Mus musculus: one gene and its partner. The protein of the gene in region 1 interacts with the protein of each later gene in a pairwise test. Links are inferred from orthologs where the notes say so. Each region holds a gene or a part of one and is shown in the gene's direction. Other genes may lie near its edges.

Region 1 (4,239 bases):
TCACTCTGTAGACCTCCAAGTCAGAAATCCGCTGGCCTCGGCCTCTGCCTCCCAAGTGCTAAGATTAAAGGCATACGCCACCACTGGCTGGCCTGCAAAAGCACTTTAATGGTGCCATTTTCTTTCAGATCTACCTTTTTTTTAAAAGCTGTGTTAATAGATATCTGCAAATTTAGAATACTGTCAGCCGAAACTTTCCTATTCTATGTACACACTGATGTCCTTCATATCCATTATTTACTATTTCATGTTCCTAAAACCATCCCACTTACAGGGCTTCAGTCTGTCAATAGGTCTTGTTTACACCAAGTCCCATCACAGAACTAGTTGCATGTGGCTGGCAGAAAGTCACTATTCTCTCATTCAGATGGCTATGGATCCCTCCCCACATCTAGCTTTTCAGAACCAACCAGTATCCATCATCAGTTCCGTTGGAAAAGGCAAGCTCAACCGTTTTGAAACAGGAGGCAGGGAAGGTAAGGTGATAGGTGCTTCGCAGAGGGGAACAAGGAAGGGGTGGTAACAACTGCGTCAGAAACAGGTTCTGTGGAAGGTGTGCCGCATAACGTGGAAAGTACTGGAACCTTAGGGTGGGGACAGGGGCGCTAGCTGGGGTTCTAAGTAAAGTGTTATGCTGCAGGTGGCTGAGAGTTCACTGAAAAAGCATCCAAAGTGGCCAAAAACCTGAGGCCGATCAGGAGGTTGGCAGGGCTGAGCTGGGAGGGTGTGGTCCTTGTAGGCTCTCGCCCCCTCTAATCTGCCGCTAAGCTAGCTGCAGAACCGCTAGACAAGCTACCACATCTCACTCACTGGTCTGAGTGACAGACACTTCCTATGTCTAGTGTCTTACTGGTCAGTCGAGAAAAAAGAGGGTGGGACAAATAAGTATTCTCCTTCTGATTGGTCAACCCGCTGGTTCTTGTCAATTAGAGATGAACTGGGTTCTCCGCCATGTTGAATAGCGCGCTGCAAAGCCTGTTCTTTTCTTGGGATGGTCACCCAACACCCGGTCCTTCCTGTCCCTCTGTGCCCTAATATGTTGATCCAGCTAGTTAAAACGCGCTTTCTGCTTTAAGTCCGTATACCGCGAGAAGTTCTCGTTTAGGTAGTTAGACAGAAATAAAGCTAGAAACCAGAGAAAAGCTCAGTCCCTTGCCGGAGACCTGGGTGTCATTCAAGTGAATCAGTAATTGTTCCGGCGCTGGTGAGACTCCCATTGAGCAATTAGCTTGAAGATTGCGTTTTACTTTAGCTTGCTGTGGTAGTCGTTTGTGTAGCTTCAGACAGTTATGCTTCTAGAAACCGCAGGCTTGTATCAGAAACCATCATTAGACACTAGCTGGACTCGGGGTTCGCATTTGTGACAGTGAAAAAGGACGTTGCGTGCGTTATGGTCCGTCGCCACCTCCTGTAGCGTCCCTAGTAACCGAGCCCCTAGTAACCGCTCGCCCCAAGCCAGGATCTGTGAGCTAGGTGGCAGCGCCTGCACGCCGCCCTGGGCGGGCGCGGGCGCTTGGGCTTGGAGGCGGGGCGATGGCTTCGCCGCACCAGGAGGCCAGACTGGCGGCAGCCAGCCTTCTCCTGTCTGCAAATCCCATCACCGGAGCAAGGGTCGCCCAGTACGAAAGCGAAGACTCCTTAGAGTCCTTGGTAGCAGCGGGGTTGGCGGCGGCCATGGAGGAGGAGGAACAGAAGAAAGTGTGGCAGATGCGGGCGTCGGTAATGTGAGAGCCCGGAGGGGTCTGAGGGCTGTCCGATCGTCTCGGGCAGGACGGGTGGAAATGCGGTGTCCTCTGTAGACCCTCCCTGCTCTCTGCCCCAACTAAAGGTTGCTGCAAAACTTTATTGGAGAGTGGTTTTTTTATAGCTATTTCTAGAGTATGCAAAGAACAGAACTCTACTTCCTATTTATTCTCCAGTATATCTTGGGAATAAATAATTTTTTAGTTCTGATTTTTACATTTATTTTTGCCCCCCCCCCCCCCGAAGACAACTGATGTGCCCATAGTTTTCATAAAAGATCAACTTTCAGATGATAAGTTGTACTGACAAGTGTGTTTTATCAGTTTTTGTTAGGAGTGGATTTTAGCAGTCCATTAGCAAACCGTGTTTGAAGTTCAGTGGACAGATGCTCCAGATGTAGAGAAGCATCCAGATAAACAAACCGCCGAAATCCCAGTTCCCTAAAGGGATGATATGGGTGCAGTGAGATCTTTTCACAAAACATTTTCAGTATTATGTCCTGGATGTGTTATATGTTTCTAGCAGAAGGATATATATGGAGGAGGAGATTATACACACACACACATAATCTCTACCTCTGGAAAAGCAACCAGTACTTATAACCACTAAGCCATCTCTCCAGCAATGCTTTTATTCTTTAAAAATTTCATACAGTATATTTTGAATGTAACCACCCCCTCTCCTTCATCTGTTCTATTCATTTTGTGTGTTTGTTTTTAGATTTATGTGTATGAATGTGTGCCTTGGGAGTTACTGAGAGTTGTGAGCTACCATATGGATGCTGGGAATCAAGCCCAGGTCCCCTGCAAGAGCAGCAAGTGCTCTTAACAGTTAAAACATCTTAGCATCCTTTTAAATTTTTGTTTGTTTTCTGAGACATAGCCTGGCTGTTCTGGAACTCACTCTGTGTAGTCCAGGCTGGCCTCAAACACACAGAGCTCTGCCTACCTCTGCTTCCTGAGTTTAAAGGTGTGTAATAAAAACGCCCAGCTTTTATTCACTTTAAAAGCCGGGAACCTTGGACTTAAACCAGCACTCTGCTGGGATAAAGCACCAGGACGGGCACTCGCTCCCTCGACACCCTGTTCCTTAGCAGTGCTGGGGTGGGCCGAAGGGTTTGTGCTTGCTAGGCAAGTGGTGTACCAACAGCTACATCCTCGGCTTTTTTGTTTTATTTTAGACAGTGACTCCTTTGGTCCAGGATTGCCTCAAATTTGCTATTTGTGGCTAAGGATGACCTTAAACTCCTGATCCTCCTGCCTCCACCTTCCAAGTAATGGGATTAAGCGTATGGGGCCCCAGGCCTGGCCTGTAGCAAATGTTTCAAGGTTATGTAGAGTGAAGCAGAGCCTAACCAGCTATGAGGTTCAGAACCCTAGGACTGGTTTATACCTGATAATCATTCAACACAGCCTGTCATAGGTTACAGAAGGTGAAATGCCAGGGAAGGCAAGAGCTTGGACCCGGGTCAGAAGCCGTTTTCTTCTATGTGCTGGGTGATCTTAGGCCGTGATTTCTGTTTCTTTGTCTATAAAAGGACTATAATTGTCTCCGTTTTCCACCTTATTCAGTTGTTATTAAGAACCAAAGGAGAGAATGGGTGTCATTTCTAGAGTAATTTACATAAATTAGTAGTAATTGTAACAACTGCCAGCTTGAACAATTCACTTGGAAATTGATTTATACTTTGGCTTACTACGGCAGAAAGGTCTGTCCTTTGTATAGTTGTACTTATGTTCCAGAGTGCCCTGCTAACTGAAGATTTTTGTTATAAACTGAGTTTGGGTTTCCAACACCCAAATACAAACCCAGTGTGTTGGCTTTTGTCTATAATCCCAGTGCTGGAGAGAGAAGAAACAGGCAGATTCCTGGAATTTGCTGAAAGCCCTACCTCAAAAAATAAAGTGGACAGTGGCTAGGGAATTCAGCTAAGATTGGATGTTAGCCTGGAACCCCTGCTTATCCCCTGCACAAGCTGGGGAACTACATCTGCCCTCCTGCCAACCCCACCCACCTAAAGAAATCTCCACTGTCTGCTTGGAGAATACTCAAGCTAACATGTCAGCGCTCCTTGTCTCTGAGTTTCAGACAGCCTGCCCAAGAGTGCCCATTTGGGGGCTCAGTTTTTGACCATGCATGGACACAATCCCAGCTCCTAGCTAGCATGGCAGCACTCCCAACCTAAACTCTACAAGATCCCCTTGCTTTGGCCTGGATCTCTCACACCTGTGAGATCAGTGAGCCCACCTGAGAGCAGCCTCCTAATAAACCTGCCTTTATCTACTTCTAATCTGGTCTAATCTGGTCTGTATCTGTGTCACTGAGGGGACAAAAAGCCTGTCACTGACCTCTGGTGTACACACACACACACACATTCTCTCTCTCTCTCTCTCTCTCTCTCTCTCTCGCACACACACACACACACACATACACATTCTCTCTCTCACACACACATTCTCTCTCTCTCACACACACACACATTCTCTCTCTCACACA
Region 2 (3,727 bases), on another chromosome or scaffold:
ACTTATAAATATTGCCTGATTGTAGGTACCCCACCCTCTTTGTCCTGTGCCTGTTATTCCTAGCTCATTAAGCAATACAATGCTTTTGTCACTTCTAAAGATCGAGACAGTTGCTAATACACTCCACTGCCACTGTAATGGATTTGGGTTTGTTTATTTGGGTGACACCTTCTCTGTTATACTCAGAATCATGTTTACCCTTGAGGAAAAAATTTTAAAGGTGCAGTAGGCATTTAGAAGCTCAGCTACCCAGCAGGGTTTTTTACATACCCTGAAATCTCATTTTAAACCCTCAGTCAAATTAGTTCAGTTTAAAGACTGCTGTTACATATTTATCCAATTTTTGAAAACACATTTTTGGTTTACAACTATCAAGCCCCAAACTATGACAAAGATTCAGCTCATTTCTGTTTTCAGATTCTAAATGATGAATTTATTTAAGCGTAAATATTACTTACTAATCCTACTTTGTAGACAGAAAAGAAGGAGGGAGATGATCAAATGATTTTATGCAGAGAGCAGTTCTTCTCCTTGACTTCAAACATGAAAGTTAATATATTTATGTAACATTAATATTATATAATTAACTGACATTAGCATAAACCCTTATTCTGAATGATTATTTTAAGTTCCCCTTTTTTGCTGCTTGAAGATATTGTGTGTTTTTTAAAGAGGTTAAAATCATCTTAAAATAGAAGTGGGATTCTGTAAGATAATTTATTAATCTATGGCTCACAGTGACACATTATCTCATTTAGAATCTCGTCATTGGAGACTCTTACTTTGCCAAGTTGGAAAGGAACACCACACTGACTTGAAAAACAAAAACAAATCAAACAAATAAAACAAAACACCTTACCTTGCATTGCAAGTCCATTTTTCTCAGATTTCCTACTATTGTGTATCTCTAATTACATTTATGACCGTCGTGAGGTGTGCCTCAGCACTGCCACCCTTTCAGCAGGAACTCTTCTCACGTGATGAACACTGTGAGACATGTTTACACTTTGAGACGGTTTCACCTTTTATGACTTTTGTTCACGTCAGTGTTTGAAAACAATTTTTTTTCATTCTGAAATTTACCACGAAGGAGAATTAATATATGCCCTCTAAAGATATAACCGGAGATGACAGACTGATGCCTGTTCCCCATTAATCACTATACGCTTAACTACATAGTCCAAATTTAAAAATAATAATTATGAGTGACCCAGAACAACTCCCTTTCCTGATTATATACCTGGATCTATTAATTAAGGCCAGAGTTTCAGAAAATAACAGAAATGTAAAGGGCCTTATCCCCTATCTCTCTATTCCATTTTTCTCATTAGTACAGTCTTTTTTTTTTCAGTTGGTTTTGGAGACCGACCAGCAGGGATACATAAATTTTTCTGTGTCTTCGACTCAGTTCCTAATTGATATTTCTTCAACTCTTTTCAAAGCAGCTATTTTGGCATCTACAAAAGACTTGGTGTCATCTGAGTCGTAGAAAATATATTTTAATCTTTCACAGCAGTGTTGTCTCTAAGATTTAGCATTTGGGGTAGCAGATGGAGTGGCAAAGAAGTTGCCTATAGGGGCAGCCCACTGCCTCAACTACTCTCCCGCCCTCTGGAGGAACTTATAATTTGAAATAGGAAAGATGCCGTCTTTCGTTGGATGCATCGCTGAGCTGCACGTTGCCAGTTGAAGATCCCCAGATCCTAATACAAGATGAGAGCCTTGCAAAGCCCTCCCTTCCAGACTCCTTTGGCCTCTCCCTGTTCCACATCACTGACTCCCTCATCCCTTCGATCCAAGCTGCAGTAATATTAAAAAAAAAAAACAAACAAACCTCATAGGAGACCCTCAAAGAAAAATGAAGTTTGTTAAAAAGAGCCCAAATGTCCAATCTAGAAACTGCCACCTGGACTGATTTATTGCTTGCTTCAGGTAGTATGGAAATGAGACAACATGGTTTGATTTTAGACTCTATCCATACTGACCCTCAATGCCAAGTCACTTGGCCTTGCTAGGGACCTGTCTTTCCAGTTACATAAGAGAGACACGGGTTTCTATCCATCACGATGCTGAATTACTATCAGAGACTCCATCTGGATTCTCTTTTGCAGCAAGGTTTGGCTGGTCTCATGGTGAGCAAATATAAACAGGAAAACAAATAATTGCAGGGGGTAGGGTGGGACTATAGATGCAGTCCTGAGAAATCTCTCTCTTTTGTTCAATTGAATCCGAGGCAACTTACTTACTCTAGCCATTTAGATGCTATGTTATTACCTTCATTTCAAAATGCACTGAAAATTTCTTCTAAGGTGTAATGATTTACAAAGTTTAGTCTATGTGTAAACCAGCTTAAATTTCCTTTATGCCTGAAGATAGGGAAACAGACGGACCCAGAGTAGAAGCTGGGCTGGGTCTGGTGTGAATAGCAGGTTCCTTACCCAGACTCTGTGCCAGTCCTGTCTACCTCACGGGCTTACTAGAAGGCTCAGCTGAAAGCTATTTGTCAAGCACAAGTTGTCTACCAACTGAAGGCATTTGTATCCCAATTTTCCCTTGCCAGACTCTGCCCCAGCTTCACCCCCTATAGTACATGTCAGAGCCCTGCTTGTTCTCTTTTCCTAGAAGCATGCTGCTTGCTGATACAGCTCTACCAATTGTGTTGATATCCCATGGCATCCCTGAGCTCAGTTAATTTACCCACCTGCAATCAAAAGAGTTAACACTGGCTGTTTATCAGTCCCTTCCTCTAGCCACTCTTGATACTAGCACCTCTCCAAAAAGCAACATTTAAAAGAAAGTCTCTCCTTTATTTCCCTACAGGGCTGGTTCAGTCCTGGCCAGGTGTTTGTGTTAGATGAGTATTGCGCCAGAAATGGAGTCCGAGGATGTCACCGGCATCTCTGCTACCTTAGAGACTTGCTGGAACGAGCAGAAAATGGCGCGATGATTGACCCCACGCTTCTTCACTACAGCTTTGCCTTCTGCGCGTCCCATGTCCATGGTAACAGGTAAGCATGGGTCTAGCGGTATTCCTAAAGGATAAAAAAGAAACTTCCAGTGGTTTGTAACTAGTTCTGCCTGAAAGAGTGACCCTAACTCACAATATATCCCTATTTACCCAGTAGTGCACAAACAGACTGGAGGAGGGGAGGAACTACACATGGGGTGGGTGGGAGAGAGGAGAGAGGCATGCTAAACTAATTTCCTTTCCTTAGACAACTGTGAAGAAATACCAAACAGCCCTTCTAGGGGAGCCCCGAGTTAAATCAGTCTGGGTAGCAATCATTATCCGTGGTGGGCTTTGGTTTTGTATTTGCTTTTTCCTTTTTTGTTTTTTTAATCGGTGACCTTGGTTGGTAATTAAATTCTCAAAATTACAGTTTTCTGGTCTATAAAATGGGAATGACAGTTTTCTCATGGAGTTGAGAGGCTACTTGTGAACACACATATATATGTGTGTATATATGTGTGTGTGTGTGTGTGTGTGTGTGTGTGTGTATATATATATATATATATATATATATATATATATATATACCCTCAGCCCAACTTGGCAAGAAACTGATCGCTATTTTGCCTTTGTTGATACTACCGTTCATTTCAGGAGTGTTTGATGGTTGCTTGCATTTTGTGTACGTGATGAAAAATAAAAACCATGGGAGAAGTCGGGCGTGGTGGCGCAAGCCTTTAATCCCAGCACTCAAGAGGCAGAGGCAGGCAGATTTCT

The links. The genes of interacting proteins can lie anywhere in the genome.
Region 2: the proteins of Fam161a (region 1) and Cadps interact in a two-hybrid assay, tested with the Homo sapiens proteins (2 studies listed by BioGRID). The two-hybrid records come from large-scale screens. The link is inferred for Mus musculus from reciprocal best matches to the Homo sapiens genes FAM161A and CADPS.

The regions. Positions count from the first base shown.
Region 1 is NC_000077.6:23,006,908-23,011,146, forward strand, and holds the start of Fam161a (protein FAM161A), read left to right. Parts: upstream 1-1,439; 5' UTR 1,440-1,533; coding exon of another isoform or gene 1,534-1,719; exon of another isoform or gene 1,720-1,724; intron 1,725-4,239. UniProt on the Homo sapiens protein: Involved in ciliogenesis.
Region 2 is NC_000080.6:12,505,065-12,508,791, reverse strand, and holds part of Cadps (calcium-dependent secretion activator 1), read left to right. Parts: intron 1-2,820; coding exon 2,821-3,008; intron 3,009-3,727.